2 linked regions of the Styela clava genome follow. The protein of the gene in region 2 interacts with the protein of the main gene of each other region in a pairwise test. Links are inferred from orthologs where the notes say so. Each region holds a gene or a part of one and is shown on either strand. Other genes may lie near its edges.

Region 1 (10,548 bases), on a different chromosome or scaffold from region 2:
TATAGCTTGGAAGCTTCTTTCTGTGGTACTGATGCTTTGAAAAAATCTGTTATGTTACACGTTCATATAATGTATCACTATCAATAAATTAACATATGACAATAACGTATACGAAGGATGTATTATGCAAAAATACATCAAATAAGGTCATAATGATGACTAAACCAAATAAAATGAAAACATACCATCCATTTTGACAACCACTGTTGCATTTCTGTCTTTTTCTCGCTTATTGTGAACATAACGTTAAAGAAAATCAAAAATAAACTGTAACCCTGTGATGGCCAGTTTCAGATGAATGCCAAAGTCATTGTAATAAAACTGGTAAACAACCATGGCTTGGGTACGCATAATATACAAATCTTATCTATTTATAATTGTCTAATATCAGTCATAAATTAGGCAGAAATGGTAGAATGTAATCTATGAATTCTCCATGATACACTGTACAACGTCTCAATTTATTTAGATACATCTACACATTATAAGCATCAACCAATACAACTTTTACATCAATGTGATAGACAAGATTATTTTGTTCAAAGAATACGGGATATTGATTTTATAGAAATGTCCTGAAGGGAAACGTGATTGCGTATTTCAAAGGGCACACAAGTATGTTGTAAAGAAGAAATAGCAATCACTAAAACAAGTTAGCTCGGCAGAAAACTCATTTTATTCAAAGGATATGAATGGCCGCACACGGACAGCAACTTTAACATTTTCAGCCATCTCTGTGGATTCGGAATGTCCCGAACAATTATCTTTAGGATAATTTTAAAATAGTTCCTGTTGGAAGAAAAATATAGAAAAACTAATTATTTGAATAATGGTGAAATATTCTTATTATCTAATAAAAAGACAACTGTCTAAAATTCACATGCTTTCCTGACAATGCAAACCTAGTCAATGCTACTGATGAGACCGTTGGCTCTCGTTTTGCTGACTGTTTGCGTAATCTCGGCATGGGGAACTATCCTTGTTTGCTTAATTAGGCAAAGCTAGCTAGACAAAATCTTTACGGTCTGAGTATCCAAAACTATTACGGGTTGTCATGTTCTTTTAATTGATTGCTATTGTGCTTCCAACAATATTTCGAGGAGTCGTTTGTGCGTATACTCTCGAATATCACCGCATATTGTAATATGAAATGGTTGACAATAGGTTCGCCAATGTGTGGTCGAGCATGACTCGCAACACGTAACAATGCTTCATGATTCTTCACTTAGCATATATGAGAGCTGTGATGCTACAATTTGTTTGTGAATATTTTTTATACGGGTTTTAAGTTGAGCATGTATGATAAGTCATTTTTGACAAGCTCACAATACTTATTTGGGAATCCTCAATCATTAACAATAGGAACGCTTTGCTTCCTTTTTTTATTGCTATTATCACAAACTATGATGCTCCACACAATTTATTATATGTTTATAACGCAATTTAGGCTATGAAAAAGTTTGTTGTTCGTTTGAAGTCAACACTAAAATACAGTGACAGTAACAGAGGCGTAGCTTAGGGGGGGCAGTGGGGTACATATGCCCCCGGGCGCCAAGGTACAGGGGCGCCAAAATGGGGCTGGCAAAAATTTCACAACAAAGGTAAAAAACGGTCACAAGCAAGATCGCACCGGCGGCAGACATCTAATCTTAGTACATGGCAAATTGCACACTTGGTCAGACCACTTACGACTGCCGACGTCATCACGCACATAGCACGGTCAGATTTCCATCGTAATTACATGGCCAAAAAAATTTGGCCGGAAAACAAAGCAAAATTTGATTTGGTAACGTTAGGTAACAAAATGCACCGGGTTAATTACGTGGTTCTGTATCGTTAAGTTCTTGCCTGCGCACTCGGATGTAAGTTGATATTAGTTCTGTGCTGGAGACAAATGGAAACGGAATTTGGTTGAATGATGTTAATACATGTTTTGAGTAATACGTGGATTGTATTTTGTTGTCAAAGTACCGTACTTTGCGGCAGAGTTACATAAAATATATTATACTGTGCTAAAAGACCTCAATGCCGTTTTCGACAATTCGTCGAGATTGCACAGATTTTGCAAATCTCTACCACACGGACATCAATGGCCACGAACTTTTCACCGAAATTGGAGATTGCAGAATGCTGCTCAGTAACAGAACTGTAGATCAACCAGAAACTCCTTCGGCTCTTCTTGGTTTTATTGTGTCTTTTGGAGACGACGTTTTATTCAATCTACGAATTTCTCTACAAATTTTGTTAACAATATCAGTTTCAATTGCAAGCTGTGAACGGTCTTTCAGCAGATTGAAACTTATTTTGTCGTATTCGCGTGCATCAACGGGACAGGATCGTCTCCGTGATCTTGCATTTCTAAGTGTTGAAAGAGAAACATTGGAAAAAAACAGATTTTGTACCAGATCATCTTTGACAGTAACTGAGTGGGACATATGCTCTATTTTGTATAGCTTTGCCTCTTCTTTAAATAAAATGTTCCATTAAAATTTGAATTTACATATACATATATTTTTGAATAAATAATAAAATATATAAATACATATAAATTTGAATTCACATATCGTCACGCTAATACCCGAATTGCGTAAGTCATTTTGGGCGGTTTTGAATTTTTCATAAAATAGGTATTTATGTAATGCTGCGCACCTGTCTGTTAACTCAGATTTTATTTTAAGAATTCCGAAACCCATAAAAATAGAAATTTTGTATGATACGCAAATTTGTTCAATTGTTCCGTCATAATGAATTATCATTGTTAACGCAGGACTATTGTGACGTCACGAAGGCAAAATAACCTAGGCGAAGGATTTTCGAGTTTTTGCATCTCAGATTCTAGCTTAGCGCTAATAATTTTCAATTTATACTACTGTATAGGAAGGCGTGCACTTGTGATATTTACTGTCTGAGTCCAATTCACCTTGGTTGACTTTTATATAAGAGTACATTACTGTTTTATTCTTTATATTTAACTTTAGTCTTATTTCGGTGATGTGCAGAGCGTGTTATATTGATGAAATATATATTTTTAAACATAAAAAATAATGTAATTGAAACAGATTAGCTATTTTGGATTGTTTGGTTTTCAGGACTGGTACATATAGACAAGTTGCAAAATTGCGTATGTCCTCTAGCCATAGACACATTTTTGCCTAAATCACAGTGTGCCATTATGACGTCACATGACTGCGTCATACAAATTAACTTAAATCCGGCTACGATCAAAAAGTTGAACTATGGCAAATTAAAGACTCTCAATGGCATAGCAATATCATTAGGAAGTATTTTTACGTTTTTCTCAAAACAGCTAAAAATGACTTACGCAATTCGGTTATTAGCGTGACGAAATATAATTTTTTTTACATATACAATTAAATGCAATAGAAAACATGATTAAACGTGGGGGTCGGGGCGCCAATTTTATATTTTGCCCCGGGCGCAAAATGGTTCCATTACATTTGAACCCACGTACATTTGAACCCATGACAATTGCACCTGTATGCTATTGCACCTATGGAATTTTTTCTGTTTCACGGATAGTTAAACCCATACTAACCCTAACCCATGGGTTTTAGCACCCGCATATAAATTGAACCCGTGGATACACGCATGGGTTCAAATGTACGTGGGTTCAAATGTACGGTCACCGCGCAAAATATGCTGGCTACGCCTCTGGACAGTAACGATCGTGACTTGGATTGGCATGATCTGTTCGTGTGACCTGTCCTGTAATCTCCTAAAGATTTTATTTATATATATACGATTTTTATTTATTGAGACAAAAGAACATAGCCTACATATTACATGCAGTAGTAAAAGTATAGGACTTTAACTGCTTCAAGCTGTCACACAATTAAGTTTTGTAAAAGGACACTTTGACGTCATTTAATTTTCGTCAAACCAGCAAACACATACTATTTAAAATAATAATGAAATAAGGGAATCAAAAATTTTCGGTAGCTGACTGGATGGTAACGATTTAGGTCAGGGGCTTGCAACCTTTTATAAAGGGGGCTAGATACAAATAACTAGATGAAACCGCGGGCCAACATAGGCTTGCTAGTAGTTGAAGGCAGAAAAATTTTGATTATTGATCTTATGACATGCGTTGTCCGCTTCGCACAAGCTAGTTGTTAGAGCAGTGTAACGTCAAAGGCATAGATAATAAAAACTTTGCAACGCATGGGGATTGGAATTACTCCTACCAGATTAAACTATATTGAAAACTCGTTTTGCGGTCCGCACACCATTCAAAATTAGCACTTCCCCGCGGGCCGCACAAATTTCCTTATGAGTCGCATTTTCCCGCGGGCCGCATGTTGCAGACCCCTGATTCAGGCCATCTGAGTCAGTCACCACCCAATACATATATATAATTGAATAAATAAACTAATACTCGATGAGTTGCTTTGTAAAATTTGGTTCACAGTCATAGCTATCGAGTAAGTACCCGAGGTAAGTAGGATAATTGAAAGTAAAACATCCTAACATTTACCCGCCTCCCCGTCGCCACCAATCCGAGAGCGGATATTTTGTTGTTTTAGAAACAATACGCCTTTGCCCCCGTTCAAAATAAAAATGATGGTTGACAATTTGCCACTAAAAATCATGTTGATCGTCAAAGGGCCGCAGTCTGATTGAGTTACATACAAGAAGAAAAAATAAAATATGAGACACAAATAGGAGATAGGAGGAGTGTTTGCTCATACATTAAAAAATATAGCAAACGAAAATAAATACTTACTAATTCCATTGCTCTAATTAATATGTACTTAATGAACATGTAAACTACTATATGTAAATAACAGGATATATTATTTTTTTTATTAATAAAGACATCACATTTATATAGACACAATGTCAAAATACAATTGCACTTAAAAACACAGCTTATGATAGTTTTCCACTTCTTCTTATGGATTAACAGTTTGCCTTTTTTAGTTGCAATAGCTTTTTCACAGTAAATAAAAATTTTTGTCATATATAAAAATTGACAAAACTGAGGCCTTTCATCACGAAGTTTACATTTCTATATAAAACATCTGGCACATAATAAAACACAATTTATACCTTTTTTCTGCCCTACTCCCATTAACTATTTACCACAATTGCTGCGTAAATTTAAAGCCATAATGTATCACAGTTTCGACATGCATGGATATATTAATTTAATTTAAAAGAAATAATCCGAGATCATTGATCACGTCATGACATATTGGAATCCACATACCGTAGGCTACTAATCGTTGGTGCCTCAGAGTTGAGAATATAGATTTCACGAGCTGTTGTTTTCTATTACATACAATTGGAAATAATTTTGTGAGTGTCTATGAATAAATTTGATAAGTTTAGGTGAGGGAAAAAGCACCTTCTTCTTGGTAAAACCTTCCACCTCATATTCTGTACGATTTAAACTTTATCTAAGGTTTTGTTTGCTCTCTTCTGGTTTTCTAATCAGTTTTCATTTATTTGGGTTTATTAATCATTTTATTGCCTATTATGCTGATTGAGTCCAAATAAACTTATACTTAAATACAGTAATGCTTTCATACTTGGCGTTTATAATGTGAATAGTGATGAAAGGAACAAAAATAAACGCACGGCCATAACCATTGTTCCTAACCGCAGTAGTCTTCTTTGAGACGGTAACTAAACAAATTAATACTCCCTGATTTTTCGCTTGCGCTAATAACAAATTCTGAATCCTTCTCATATCTCCACAAAAAAATGATTACGGACAAGATTTTCAAAGTCAGTTGGCATATGATCTTTGTGTTGTTGTTCCCCGATTCAGAATATCCACCAGTTGGCGTACTTTTACCAATCTCTGGCTCTCCCCATCCTTTTAGCGTGGCCATCGGGAAATCGGCAGTCATGAGGTAATTTTCAACAATATTTGAACATTTTCTCTTTTTATTGCATTATAATGGGGTTGGAATTTGTATAGAAAGAATGAAAAATTATCAAATATCATTTAGATGCCCTGCGTTGCCGTTAGAATATTAGTTATTTTTCCTGCAGTGTCATCAGGAGTGTTGTAATTAAGAATATTTTTCTGCCCATTTCCACTCTCAGACATGACCATGTAATGCAACAAGTGAATAGTCCTTTGGGGTGTGTTTCATCGAATGAATATTGGCATGATAGTTTTCAATATTATGTTATTGTAAAATCATTGTTTGCTGCCATTTTATACATTTGTATCTCTACTGGGAAGAGTGTTTGTTTTAGCTCACCAGCTAGCCTATAAGTGCTCAGACACAGGTCTTAACTTTGTGAAAGGCGGACTGGTTTTTGATATATCAGCAACTGTTCTAGGAAAAAAAAACCTAGTATACTTGAATTGTCTTTGCCTAGTCAATTCACACTCATTTTGTATTACGCGTGTGTACTGTTCCTTCTCACCACTGTCTGACTGTACAGTGTTATAGAAGATACACTGATCTGTAGAAAGATAAATGCTCTGGATTTATCTGCATTGTGTCATAATGATTTAAATTTGAATATTTCATTTATTTGTTCTAGCACCCTTCGACTGCAAAAGCGGCTTGCCGCTGCTGTTATGAAATGCGGGAAGAATAAAGTTTGGTTGGATCCAAATGAAACTTCCATGATTTCAAATGCCAATTCAAGTAAGAGTTTTCACCTCCGCCTTTAATAGCTTGTTCTTTATCTCATTCTGATTTAGAAGATGAAATATACAGCAGTTTAACTTTTTCACCAAGACAAAGTTTTTCAAAGACTTCTCACACATAGTATTATTTAAAATATTATATTAGTTGGTAACATAAATCTGTTAACATTAAAATATAAACCTTTCTTATAATAAATAAAATCTGACATAAGCTAGAATTTTGATATTATTTAAGTATATTTTTAATTATTAGATTCGGATTCACATCTATGTGTAACATTTCATTTTCACAGGGCAAAATGTTCGTAAATTGATCAAAGATGGTCTGATTATCCGAAAACCTGTGGCTGTTCATTCTCGTGCAAGAGTGCGAAAGAATACAATCGCTCGTAGAAAAGGTCGCCACACAGGACGAGGTATGAATCAATGACATGATTCTATATATAAACTTGTGAAATTATCACATTTAAGCTTTTCTAACTCGTGAAGATATTTTTGGTCAAGTAGAATTCGGGAGTTTTTTATATAAAAAATTGAATTAAAATAATATTATTTATTTGATTAATTTTTGCAAATAGGTAAAAGAAAGGGTACTGCAAATGCACGTATGCCTGAAAAAGTAATCTGGATTCGGCGAATGAGAGTTCTTCGACGTCTTCTGAGAAAATACAGAGAATCGAAAAAGATCGACAAGCATATGTATGTAGAATGTACACTATTAGCCCTTTTTTGCTGCATATTCGTTTCTTAAAAATTCCTAAATCTTACCTCAAATGATTTTTGTTATCTAATCGAACTACCTCTTCGTCAATTCGTTCGATATCAAACTCCATGAAGCTGAAAAATTATTACTAATCTTATCGACTAAATTTCATTTTATAGGTACCATGAACTTTACTTGAAAGCTAAAGGTAATGGATTCAAGAATAAGCGTATCCTTATGGAACATATTCACAAAGAAAAGGCCAAGAAGTCGAGAACAAAGATGTTCATGTAAGAAAATAATTATTATCAATTGTTACTTATCGATTTTAATCGGTAAGTAGGTATCTGTTTGTCTGTTAGATGCACGCGATATCTCACGAAAGCGAGATTGGACCTGCTCCAGATTTTGCATGTGCATTCATCTTATCTCGGACCAGAAGCCTATTGATTTTGGGCGAATTATGTCGTATAATTAGCGAGTTATTAATTAATTAGTGATGAGACACAAGGTGTCACTATGGAGTAAGAGTGCTGTTTTGAGGAATCCTCTAACTTTCGATGGACAAGTCTTCGGTCTCTGACCGATATTTTCGTTTACTTTTCAGTGAAGTTAAACGGATAAATTTTGCACTGTGGAAAATTTTTAGTGCACTTTTATGAATATAATTCTTTTTTTTTTTATTCAAGTTGCTGCGCCTTGTTGGAGAATATGCAAAATATTACTATTTTCAGATGCATGATTTTGATAATGCTACTTTTAGTATGAATTAGACATTCTGTTCAGGGCTGTGGAATAGGGGTTTCAGACCTTGATAAAAGAATTTACCGAAGAAACTCAAAGAACAATGTAGTTTACTAAGCATTATTAACAGTATATTACTAAAGAACACTCTTGCTTATACGGAAGTTTTGTTGTCAAAATTTGATTTTCTCAAGAGCTGGAGTCTGAGCCTGGGTTTTCTAAAACCCATATTCAGAGTCCACAGAAAGTTTTCTTTCACAGCCCTGATTCGGCTGTTTACTATTCCTAAATTTTTGCATTGTCTCAAATCAGTGACCAGGCGGAAGCTCGTCGCCAAAAGAACAAGGAGGCCAGAAGAAGAAGGGAAGAGAGAATTCAGACCAAAAAGAAGGAAATGCTTTCAGCACTTGCAAAAGAGGACGAAGCTGTCAAGAAGGAGTGAATTCTATTTGCCTTTTAAATTTCTGTGGCTATATTCACTACAATTGTACAACAAATAGTGCAAATACTTTTTTTGTTTCTATGGGTATGTTAGAGATAGTTTAGACAGGAATTATGTCAAGTGGGTGTCATTAAAATGCAATAAAGCCAGTCCTATGTCAAAATGTTGGTATATGCAACTGGGGTTTAATATCGGTCTGGATGATTAAGATGGTAAAAATATTGCCTAAAATCTCCCATAGTTTTCCAAGTTTCATGCTCTGTTGCCTCCTGCTTCCAGAAACTGAAAACTATTTTGGTTTGCGACTAGTTCACATCAGTTATTTTGTTTGCCTGGTTTAGTGATAAGAAGCCAATAAACAAAAGGTGATGGGTGGATCCAGTTTGAGAAGCCTTGCTTCAGGTGGAGACCTGGCTAGTTGGGTGCAATCATCTCTGTCATCATCATTTGCATTACCTTGTCAAGGTGGTGATTAATCAGAAAGGAAGTGACGTCCGAGAGATAATAAGGAACTTGCGACAGATGCGATACTCAAGAACAAAAGTGTCAAACTTTTCTTGGAATTTGGAGTGAAGAACACAACTATTCATTTATGGGAAAAAGCTTGTGCGCTAGATTATGACGCAATGGGAGGTGGTGGTTTTATTTAGCCATTTTGTTTCTCTTCATTTTTTTGTAAAATCCTACACCCAGTTGAAATCACGAATCGATCTGAAGCACAAAGTTTTTCTCAAATATCATGAAATGCTCTGAATTAGACAGAGAACAGCAACTCGTTACACAAAATGATCATGACAAGTTAGTCTCAGTTATCATGAACCATATCCTCTTGTCCAGTTACCAGTCCATGTCCGGTATTGGACTTTTCTAATCGACCAGCAGTTACATGAACCACCCTTCGCCGGCAAGAGGTCCTCCATTCCTTTCGCACGTAATTACCCCCCATGATTCAAACGCAGGGTAACCAGAGGTACCGCATGCCGCCAGCTAAGTCCCATATCCATACCATCGATTCGGAAATAGACAATGATCGATGTGGTATCATTTATTTCTGACAAGAACACAACACAGCATATACATCACTCATGGTAAAGCAAGAACAGTGGCAGTAGAAAAAATAAGACAGGATTTGATAACTTACAATATTCGGCATGAAAAAAAGGTTTGTACTTGCTGATCACAAACATGCAATATTTAAAAATCCAACGTTCCCCCAATATTTGAGCAGGAAGGATAACACAAAACCATCAAAAAGTGAATGTGTTTAAAAAACTATATATGTATTCAACACAATGAACATTCAAGTTGCAAACAAAGCTTTCAGATGGAAGTATCAGGAAGAATTTGCTCAGCTTCATCATTGGTTACACTAGATCCAGCAGAAATGTCCTCTACTTCCATATCTTCTGCATCTGTGAAAAGCAAGATGTCAGTTATAAGTGTGGGATTAAAAATATTAAGAACAGATTCTATTTTGTATCAAACTCACTAACAACAGGTTCCCTCATTTTAGAAAATGCATGTAGATACATTAACATGACTTTCGCAAAGCCAAAAAGAGGACTAGTTATCAGCTGTGGTGCATATTACCAGTTTGCCGTCTAGTGCACCGGTTCTCAACCAATGGGCCACAGAAACATGTTCAGGTGGGCCACAAACATATTAAAAATTTGCTAGAGTTGTTGATAAATTGGTTAAATTTTCATTGTAGTAACAATGAATGATGCTTTTTTTGCTACTGAGTGGTATTTTTTATTTTAATTATTAAATTGGAGATGTCTATCTTTACAAAATAATTTTTTTTTGTTTTTCTATAGTTCTTCCCTCACACAAGAAAGTTAATGGGGCACAGAATCTTTTGTGCAACAAAAGCAGGCTACGAAAGAAATCAAGGTTGAGAACAACTGGTCTCGTGTCTAAAACCAGAACAGGTTCGCTGATTATCTTAAAATTGAAAAAAGGGTTCTTATCCGTTTGATGCAGTTGCCCAGTGTCTAAAACCAGAACAGAGACGCGCATGAGTCT
Region 2 (11,291 bases):
CTGATTATTCCATTACTGATTCACCTAATTCCCACGATTGACATCTGAATAACTGTTGCGCTGGAAATATTTAGGAATAAACGAGGAAAAGAGACCGATAGGACGGTATACATTATTTCAAGTACCAAGTTTGGATCGAAAAGTCGTTCGAACGCCAAAAATAATATCGGTAAAAATGAACCTCGACATAACCTATTTGAGAGCAGTTTTGTGGTTTTGCGTTTCGCTGATTCTGAAGTTTCTACGCCACGCATAAGTCGAAAGGTCTGCGTTGTTTCGAGTCATTTCCCATTGCTATATTTAACTGCAATAAGGCAAAAGCAAGGACGTTCAATTCAGAAACTGAAATTTAAATCATCCATTGTCTGATTATGTAGTTGGAAGCAATTTTTATGATCATTTTACGTTTTCCCGCCATTTCTTCTGAAACATCTAGCTATTAGGTAAATTGGAATAGGATTGATTTACATATTTATCCCGAGGGGCGACGGGCAATAATACGGCCCAAACGTATGGCGAACCATGTTTCTCTTGCTTGACTGACAAAAAGAAATCGTGTTTATTATGCCCATGCATGTTCGGTAGATACATGTAAATTATATGACTGACATTTGCAAAATACGACCCGGGCCAAATTCGGCCCGTTGAGTTATTAAATACGGCTCGCCTGATGCTGCCACAACCAACTAAGTCCTAGTGAAATTTTTAGGTTTGAGATAAAAAAAAATAGCTCAAGGAATTTGTTGAGATTGCGATTAAGTTTATTCCTGGAAAGAGGTTTATTGTTTTCCACTTTTGCTTATGAAATACTGTAAATATTGTTCATAAAATGTAACTTTGTACGTAACACTCACATGGCCCGCCAGTCTAGGTGGGCAAAATTTTTGGCCCCTGATCCAAAAACCTTGCCAACATTGCGAACTTGTTCACCCTGGGCGCTTCCGAAAGATTCGTATCAGGATGCGGCACAACCTGAACATGGTATGTGTACCAGGCTTGGGTTTTTCAGGTTGTGCGTCATCTTGGTACGAATACTCCCGGAGCGCCCAGGGTGAGCAATGTCGCAATGTTGTTGCTGGGGAACTTGCATTATTAGGACTGGGCAGCTGTATTCGGTGCCATAGAGCTATGAAATTTTTGGTGAAGAAAAGCTTGCCATGTTAGATGGAGCCAGAGCTACCAGAAATTTTAGTGGCTTCAGCTTCTAAGCATCATTCTCAGCTAATAATATTAATTTAAAACGAGGAAAAGAGACCGATATGACGGCATGCATTATTTCAAGTGCCAAGTTTGGATCGAAAAGTCAGTTAAACGCAAAAATATTATCGGTAAAAATGAACCTCGACTCAACCTACTTGAGAGCAGTTTCGTGGTTTCGTATTTTGCTGACTTTGAAGTTTCTGCGCCACGCGTAAGTCGAAGGGTCTGCGTTGCTTTGAGTCATTTCCCATTGCTATATTTAACTGTAAAGAGTTAAAGCAAGGACGTTCAATTCAGAAACTAAAATTTGAATTATATGATAGTTTTGCATTTTCCCGCCATTTACTTTGCAACAACTAACTAATAAGTAAATTTGGATAGGATTTACATATTTATCCCGGGGGAAAGGAAAACCGATAAGACGGTTTAAACACGTGACGAACCACGGGTCTAGTCCGGTAGTCAGTCCATGTTGGATGTGGTATTAGTTAGCCAGGTTTTGTTTTCATGGGCATGGACGTCATTTCCTCTTCCACATCGAAATTCATTTTGCTTGGATGACGAACACAAATTGTGTTTATTATGCGCATGCATGTTTGGTAGAAACATGTAGATTATATGACTGGCATGGGCAAAATATGGCCCGCGGTACAAATTCAGCCCGCCTGATGTTGCCACAACAACTGAAACCAAATTTTGAGGCTTAAGCTGAAAAATAGCTTAAAGAATTTTTTGAGATTGCTATTAAATTTATCCCTAGAACGAGACTTATGATTTTCCACTTTTACTTATGAAATACTGTAATTATTATTTATAAAATGTAACTTTGTACGTAACACTTACATGGCCCGCCAGTCTAGGTGGACGAAAATTTTGGCCCCTGATCCAAAAACCTTGCTCACCCATGTTATATGACATTGTTCTGTGGTCTGAAGGTTGCTCCCGAAGTATTCGTATCAAGTTTGATCACAATCTAAACACAGTATGTGTACCAGGTTGTGTGTCATTTTGGTACAAATACTTTCGGAGCGCCGTCTGAAGAATACTTTTTTATTAGAGCTTCAAACAAATATAAGATTAGAATTTTCATCTTAATCTTGGGGAGAGGAAAGCTGACGATACGGATTGATCATATGGTTACTGGTAATCTACTTACACGTAATCGTATCCCACAGGATTAGAGCTTGTGAACACATACAGGGTGAACATTGTTGCAATGTTGTTGTTGGAAACTCTCATTATCAGGACTGGGTAGCAGTATTCGGTGCCATGGAGCTGTGACATTTTGGTGAAGAAAAAGCTTGCCATGTTAGATGGAGCCAGAGCTACCAGAAATTTTATTGGCTCCAGCTTCTAAGCATCATTCTCAGCTAATAATGTTGATTTAAAACGAGAAAAAGAGACCGATATGACGGCACACATTATTTCAAGTGCCAAGTTTGGATCGGAAAGTCAGTTGAACGCAAAAAGAATATCGGTAAAATGAACCTCGACTAAACTTATTTAAGAGCAGGTTGCGAGACCAATGCGACACACCTTCGACACGCCACACTAAACAATGCCAATTGTTTGAACAACAAACTATAGCGCTGACACCGACAGGCACCTGATATTTGATTCATGGCAAGCATTAGTTAAAAGTACTCAGTACACAAAACTCCATACCCAGCTCAGCTTTGAGTAATTCTATTTGATTGTATTACGATAGGACCAGGATGTTTGGTTGTAATAAGACGGGATGGGGTGTTTGGTTGTATTAAGATGGGTAGAGGGTATTTGGTTGTATTAAGATATGACGAGGTGTTTGGTTGTATTAAGAAGAGAATCGGAAGTTCGGTTGTATAAAGATGGGAATAGGATTGTTTGGTTGTATTAAAGAAGGAATGCGATATTTGATTGTAATGAGGAGGGAAGTGGGAAGTTTGGTTGTAATAAGATGGGAAAGGGATATTTGGTTGTAATAAGATTGAAATGGATATATTAGGATGTGCATGAGACATTTGGTTGTATTAAGAAGGGAATTGAAATATTTGGTCATAAAAGATAATAATTGCGAAATTTGGTTGTATTAAGATGAATAGGGATATTTCGTTGCATTAGGATGGATAGGGATGTTTGGTTGTATTAAGATGAATTGTAATATTTGGTTGTATTAAGATTGGAATTGGGATTTTTGGTTGTATTAAGATGAATTGTAATATTTGGTTGTATTAAGATTGGAATTGGGATTTTTGGTTGTATTAAGATGGTATCGGATATTTGGTTGTATTAAGATGAGTTTGGGATGTTTGGTTGTATTAAGACGGCAACTGGATATTTGGTTGTATTAGGAAGGAATGGCTTGTTTGGTTGTATGAAGATGGGAATTGGATTGTTTGGTTGTATTAAGGTGGAAATGGGACATTTGGTTGTATTAAAAAGGGTTTTGAAAATTTGGTTGTATTAATATGACAATTTGACATCTAGCGATAGCTGTACCACCCTTAAATTAATCAAAATGCAGAAAATAAATTGCACGTGTCCCAATGATTTCAGTATTATTAATATGAGTTGGTTAGCACTAAGCCTTGGAATCGAATAAATGTTTGTTCAATTCACAATGTCCTGGCTTTCTGTTCATATATACGGTTAGCCCAGTCATGATTATTTTCACTAATGGCTCTATTGTTTATGCAACCTTCATCAATTAATCTAAACTATGCATTCCTGCTTTATTTTCAAATGGTTGATTTAAGAAATCGAGATTGTGTTTATAGTTTTCTGTGTTGCTTTCAACAAGCTTAAAATATACAAAATATGTTCCCTAATTCTGTAATCAGTTTTATTTATTTTTTTATTTTTTTTCAATAATTTTATCGTCTTTTATGCTAGCTGTGGAGTCAAAAATAAACTTATAAAGATTATATTTCAATATTTGCTGTCCTAGCGCCAGGACAAACGGGGGACTAGCATTCTAAAACCTCATTTGTTGATTAATCTACAAATAGTTCCTTGGATGAGATAGATTTGAGAAATACACAAGAGAGAGAACAATTTCTCTCCCCGTTTCAGAGTAGTGAGTCAGTTTGCATAGGATATATTCCGATGCGAATAGTAAAGAAAGAAAACGTAACATTAGATAAATGTTCAAGAAAACATATCATTTGACTCTTGAAGTTTGAAGTCATACACAATTGCTAGTATCCTCTTATATGTCAGTGAAGTATGTATGGAGTCATGATGAAAGAGAAAAAATGTAAAACGTAGGCCTATAGGAAAAATTAACAAATGACCCGATCACATGAAAACCAACAGCGTGTCGTCGGTTTCCAGTTGGGTTATACATTAGAGTAGACCAGCGTTTCCCAAACTGTGTTCCGTGGTAAAAACATTAAAAATACGTCTAAAATGGCCGCCATGGCGATTTATGGAACCTGAAGTTGTCGCCCAACTGACCGTTCGATATCGCGTCATCGTCGGCCTAAAGTGAACCAACTATAGGGTAGTGGCATTTTCATTAACCGTCGGTCTAGCTTGTTGACTGATAGGTTCATTACAGCTATGCTGCTGATTTTGCTAAATGCAAACAAGTAGGTCTAAAGAATAAAGGGGGCTCCCGAAGTATGCGAACCAAGATGGCGGACATCGGAATGTAATATGTGTACTAGGTTAGGGTTAGGCCATAATTTTAGGTATAAATACTACGGGAGGCTCTTGGCTAGTCTTCGAACTGATAATAGGACTAAAATAAGGAAAATTGGAAAAAAATTATCGCCTAACCCTAACCTGTTACCCATGTTACGTTCCGATGTCCGCCATCTTGGTTCGCATACTTCGGGAGCACCGAATAAAGACATAAGATCAACTCTTCTTCCTCCATATCTGCTTGGTTTTACTTTGAAATGCTGAAAAAATTGCTAAACTCTATTCAGTAGATAAATAAACTGCAGGTTTGCCGCTCGCGAAATTGCGGCAAGCACCTTTATCACCATTAGACGTAACATTAAGGGCAAACACTACGTTAATTTAAATTAAGAAACAATAAAACATTTATAATATATGCAATTTGTGAAATATTCAATCATATTTTAGGTATGTTTAGCACACTTCTGTTAGTTTTCGCGGCCCATTTGGCAACTTGCCACGAGAACCCATTGGGAACCGCTATATACATTAGGCCTACAACATTTTTCTTTATCCATTTTACTTTTACTCTTTCATTTTTTTGTGTTCCGCGAGGCGAGATAAAAATTGTAAGTGTTCCGTGGCCGAAATAGTTTGTGAAACGCTGGAGTAGACAATCCTTGGAATAGTCAGGTTGCTGAACAACCGCCGCCTTCATGGTTCCTATTTCTTTATTTCGAAGTCAGTGCGTCACGGAGCCATTGGAATATACTGTGGCGTCTCTGGGGTATGGGAGCCATTGCTCGTTCCATGGGCGCCGTTTGATTAGGGTAGCACGAAGGCGAAAATTTTAATTGTAAAATTTTCAACGAAATAATCCAAAGTGTAAATGATTGAATATCGCGTTTTTACTCATAACGTATAAGTATCTTAATTCAACAGCAGTCGTTAAAAATTGTCATTTAACGATCAAGTGGCGCATATATTTGGTATAAGTGCGTTTGTTATAAGTGCGTCTTGATGAGCGGGCACATGATACTCATCATGTTTTAAATTTTTTTAAAGGTTTTGCTCGAATTCTCCATTTTTAATTTTTTTTGTATTATCATATTGTGGAGTTTTCGAAATAAACTATCTATCTATCTAAGTGTGGGTTAATTTTGATTACCCGAAAAAAAAGAATACTTCTTCTTCTTAATGTAAGTAAGAACAGTAATAACAATACACTATCACCATTTTTTGATGTTTATTAATTTCAACTTCTTGCGTGTGAGAGGTAGTGTCTTATTTCCAAATAGTTTCTGTGTGTTCGACTCGTGCTACAACTCAATTATGTTACGCATCAATGAATACCATGAATAAGCAAATATCGTTTACCCTAGTCATGATTATCGTGTGTGCCTGAATTTCGTTTTACCTGTTGATGCCCAACACAGGTCTGCAAGTGGAGAGTTTGCGAGTTTCAGGCTTTTGTAGTAAGGGTATGCCTCAGTAAAATATCTGGATAAACTTGGCATTATGGACGGGACCTGGCAAGGCACTTGTATTCATTAAGTCTGTAAGTTTTGAAGTATAAGTTTTATTTCAAATCAGAAGCCTACAGCTGTCTGACTGTACAACAACGATAAAATAATTGTTGAAAAAAAAATTAAAATTGATTACTGACTCTAGAACTCTGCCTTTCTATTAATTTTGAATATACTGTATTGGGTATCAGGCATACCCGTACTTCTTTCTCGTCTTATTGTTTATATTTGTAAAATACTAGTACCGGTAAAGGATTTATGTTGAAAGGAAATTTTCCTTGACAAGTAAAAAAAATTACTCAAAAATAGCAATGTCAAAATGTTGTATAGTACAGTAGTGCGTATCTAAATTATGGAATTTATTTTTTATAATAATAGCAGGTTTATTTTGATTAGCATGAAAGGTGATAGAATAATAGCCTAGTTAAAATAAAATTAAAAAATAGCCTGCTAGCTGAATGGTTACAGAAAGCTTAAGTGTCTTTAATAGCTTAAGTGTTTTTTGTAGGTGTGCTGGTGAGCAGAAGCATGGTACTTTCACTTTTTTGCTGTTTCAAGGGTTTTACTTGCTCTGCAGAATTCTCCATTTTAATTAGTGTATTTAGGAAGGAAGGATTTACATAATTATCTGTATTATGGAGTTTTCAAAAGTATCTATCTTATACAGTTAGACTATATTAATTTGTTTGAAATTATCATATCTCAGACTTTTTAATGAAGAAACTACGAGCTGTTTCTCACATTTCAGCTCACATTTAAAATATAAGAATGGATAGGTTAATGAGATTAGGAGCGGGTGGGGGACTTCAGGGATTTGGACAACAACCCCAGTCTGATGCTCCCATGGTTGACACAGCAGAACAAGTTTATATTTCATCGTTAGCTTTATTAAAGGTGAGAAATTGTGATTGGTGTTTTTTATTTCTTGTGTTTTAAACGCCAGTTTTCAAAATTTTCTGTGTTCGTCTTGTGTATCATACTTCTTTTTATCATGGTGTAGTTCAAAATAAAATGTCTTTTTTTTATGTCTCATGGTTTGAAACTCATTTGTAGTTATATTGCTCAATTTCTCTCTTAGGTCTGTGAGTGTAAAATGTAAAATAAAATTAGAATAATAATATAGTCAGAATAAATTAATCATATTTTTGTATTCATTAAAAAAAAACTAGGTTGGCTTCCCACTTTGCGATAAGTATTAAATTTGCAATGATTAATTTCAATAACCTAATCAATGTTGAAAAATCTAAGAAGGTATATTGGTCACTGAATCCAACACTAGCCACTTACCCTTCCAAAATTCCCTCAAAAACAATGAAGTTACAGCATAAACAATGTTAGATAAATCAAATTTCTGGATAAACCTCTGCAGGCTCTTTATGCAACTTACAGACTAACATAAATTTATCTTTTCAGATGTTGAAACATGGCAGGGCTGGCGTACCAATGGAAGTCATGGGTTTGATGCTCGGAGAATTTGTTGATGATTATACGGTGAGATATTGTTTGTACTCAATACTGACTGAAGATTGTAATGAATATCTGTATTTTTATACACCTTTCACTTCAAACAAGACTCAGTTACCCTATGACACCAGAAGACACAAGGAGTCCAGCGATCTTCTCTGCATATAATTATCCCTATTTAGGTATAAATTCATTACGACTTCATAATTCAGCATAAAAGGCAATAAAAGAATTAATGAAAACAAAATAAATATGATTAGCAAATCAGGAAAGTGAACAAAATAATAAATAAGTGAGGGTTTGAACGTACAAATTTTAGATGAAAAGTGTTGTCAAAAGAAGTGTTCATTCACACAGAATTTGAACTCGCGACGGGTACTTGGAGGTGCAATGGAAGGCATATTTCTAACTATGAGCATGATGTGTAAACTGCCAAGCCTTCTTCCAAAAGCTTACAATGCTTGCTTGTATGATGTTAAGATGGAGTAAAACACCTCATAAAAACTCGGAACAAGTCAGGGCTGATTATAAATTTTATCCTTTTTAACAGGTCAGAGTGATTGATGTATTTGCAATGCCTCAGTCTGGCACTGGAGTCAGTGTTGAAGCTGTGGATCCGGTGTTTCAAGCCAAGATGTTGGACATGCTGAAACAGACTGGAAGGTATGCTGATATTAGTTGTGTCAGCCTACTTAGGAAAGTGTGGGGAATTTTGTTTGCTTCGTGATGATAATAGAATAACAGGATTTCTATATTTATCCTTTTGGGAGTGGGAAGCCCAGAAAATGATGTTTTGGGTGGTACTGGTATCTGACTCAGATGACTGTGAATGGTTGTATCGATACCACCCAGTCATCTAAAACTTAATTTTTCCCATTTTGCTATCATATATATTTTATATGTTTTCTGGTTTAACGAAAAAAAAAATTCTTTCTTTCTCAATCATATGGCGAACCAAGGACTTTCGTCTGGTTACCAGTTCATGCAGAGGCATAGTTGGCTGGTCATTCGTTTCAAACGCATGGACTTTTGAAACAAACATGTTTGACCACTTGATGCTTCTTATGCAGTGTGTTTTGGTTTTAATAAATGTGTTGAAATGACTAATAAAATTTTTTTTTTAATACAGGCCTGAAATGGTGGTAGGTTGGTACCATTCCCATCCTGGCTTCGGTTGCTGGCTATCTGGTGTGGACATCAACACCCAACAAAGTTTCGAAGCGTTGTCCGAACGAGCTGTTGCCGTCGTGGTCGACCCGATTCAGAGCGTTAAAGGAAAGGTTAGTCTTGTCATTATAAATGTCTAGAACAGGGGTTCCCAAGCTTTTTTCAGGACGACCCCAAATACATCTTTCAAGTTTCCAGTGCGACCCCAGGTCAATATATATATATATATTTCATGAAACTCTAGAGCTTGTTTCACTGGACTTTTGAGTTTGGTCATGTCGTGGTATTAAGTAAAATAAGCTAAAACCAAACAAGCGCCTACATTTTCTATAGAATAAGCATGCCTATGTTCCTGTTTTAAAGTAAGCCATGGACTACAAACTGCTAAATTTAACTTGGTTTGTCAAATCTTAGATGCTTTGTACATCCATCCTCTACCATACCTCAGCGACCCCATGACCTGTTTGCGACCCTACCTACTTATCACTCAAACCCAAATTGGGGTCGCGACCCCTGGTTTGGGATCCCCTGGTCTAGAATATAATTGTTTTCTTCACTGTTGCTTCAAATAACGCTCGGTACAGGAAAGCAATCAGACCACGGTCTCTCAAGCTGGGCTCTAGGGGCCATGGGCGGGCGATTCTCTGGTAGTCATTAGCTAAGACTTTCACCGATTATTATTTTTCAATTCTTCAACTGTAATGCATATTTCCATGTTAGTGTTGTGGAGATTCACATAAATTATTACATTCATTTAAAACTAATACCAAGTACTGCAATTTGTTTTCCATAAAGTGGTCTGTAGCAAAATAGGACGCTCCAGAAGTGTGTGTACCAATACGGAGGTAACTAATTTTGTTTGCTTATTTTACATCAAGTTGTGTAAAGGGACTGAAACCTATAGGCAGGGGATATATTCACTTGGCTAACACAGAACCCGCAATAGAACTAAAATAAGGAAAATCGGAATAAAATTATGGCCTAACCCTAACCTGGTACACACAATACTGGAGTAGCAGGAATAGTCTGTTAATTCCAATAATTCTCAGTTTGATTGAGCTTTTTCTTTCCAGGTTGTCATCGATGCTTTCCGACTGATCAACCCCAACATGATGGTCTTGGGCCACGAACCTCGGCAGACAACGTCTAACCTTGGACATTTACAGAAGCCTTCCATACAGGTAATAAATTTCACACTGTGGTAGGTGTGTTGTACTTAAGTATTAGGAATGTACTGATTATTATCTTTCTATATTTAATTATTGGAAATAACAGCTAGAAAATGATTGGAAAATACAAGTTGTATTTAGGTTAGGTGGGCCAATAACGTTACACTCAGGATCAGCCAAAACATTGGAGAATGAAATATGTGCACGACACTCCTAATTCTCCAGAATGTATCTGAAATAGTAAAATATTCCCTGTTTTGAAACATCTTGAAATCTTTTCCAGGCTTTGATTCACGGTTTGAACAGACATTACTACTCGATTGCCATCAACTACAGAAAGAATGAACTTGAACAGAAGATGCTGCTCAACCTGCATAAAAGAAGGTTCTTGCTGGAATTTCAAATTTTTCGGGGTTCAAATTTTGTGCTTTAAATCAGTGGTGTGCAACCTGCAGCCCACAAGGAAAAATTGTGCGGCCCGCAGTGTCAATTTTGAATGGTGTGCGGCCTGCGACGCCAGTTTTTAATTTAGTTTAATCTGACATGCGCGAGTAATTTATGTTGCAAAGTGTATACATGATGCCTATGAGATTCAATGTCTGCTGGCTCGAAAACTTTTGTAACTGCAACTACGAGAAAGCCTATGGTAAACAAAGATGTGACTCGCAATTTCAGTCAGTTATTGGTATCTGGCCTTCCTGTATTAAAGGTTGCACACCCCTGCTTTAAATGGTGGTAATCAAACCAACTCTAAGGAGCATCAAAATAACTAAGCATTCTCTACAGATAATTGAATCTTTTTTTTGTAGTTTTGGGCCAAAGTTGATGTCAAAATATTTCCTCAACCTTGCTGTGGCCTTGAGTTGAGTCAAACATATAATCTGTGTTAACGCTGAGTTTGGGTAGTTTTTAAATGACTTGAAGTCTGGTGTATTTCTCTGTTTTGACTTCTCATTTCATTCATGGAAAATAAAATAAATCTTTTGTTTACTAGTTGGATCGATGGCCTGACTTTGACAGATTACAGCGAGCATTGTAAAGTGAATGAAGATACCGTCACTAATATGCTGCAGTTGGCCAAAAATTATAAAAAGGTATTTGGTTGTATTAAGATGGGAATTGGATGTTTGGTTGTATTAGAAGTGGTTTTTGGTTGTATTAA

The links.
Region 1: the proteins of 26S proteasome non-ATPase regulatory subunit 14 (region 2) and large ribosomal subunit protein eL19-like interact in a two-hybrid assay, tested with the Caenorhabditis elegans proteins (2 studies listed by BioGRID). The link is inferred for Styela clava from reciprocal best matches to the Caenorhabditis elegans genes rpn-11 and rpl-19.

What each region holds. Positions count from the first base shown.
Region 1 is NC_135252.1:12,332,188-12,342,735, reverse strand, and holds large ribosomal subunit protein eL19-like, read left to right. Parts: upstream 1-5,712; 5' UTR 5,713-5,727; coding exon 5,728-5,879; intron 5,880-6,525; coding exon 6,526-6,632; intron 6,633-6,927; coding exon 6,928-7,050; intron 7,051-7,212; coding exon 7,213-7,333; intron 7,334-7,516; coding exon 7,517-7,627; intron 7,628-8,393; coding exon 8,394-8,523; 3' UTR 8,524-8,589; downstream 8,590-10,548. Other genes in the region: kinesin-like protein KIF28, read right to left, coding at 186-235, 692-732; endoplasmic reticulum junction formation protein lunapark-B-like, read right to left, coding at 9,844-9,935.
Region 2 is NC_135263.1:667,064-678,354, reverse strand, and holds the start of 26S proteasome non-ATPase regulatory subunit 14, read left to right. Parts: upstream 1-7,020; 5' UTR 7,021-7,097; coding exon 7,098-7,223; intron 7,224-7,742; coding exon 7,743-7,820; intron 7,821-8,343; coding exon 8,344-8,456; intron 8,457-8,922; coding exon 8,923-9,073; intron 9,074-10,033; coding exon 10,034-10,141; intron 10,142-10,412; coding exon 10,413-10,513; intron 10,514-11,123; coding exon 11,124-11,223; intron 11,224-11,291. UniProt on the Caenorhabditis elegans protein: Metalloprotease component of the 26S proteasome that specifically cleaves 'Lys-63'-linked polyubiquitin chains. The 26S proteasome is involved in the ATP-dependent degradation of ubiquitinated proteins.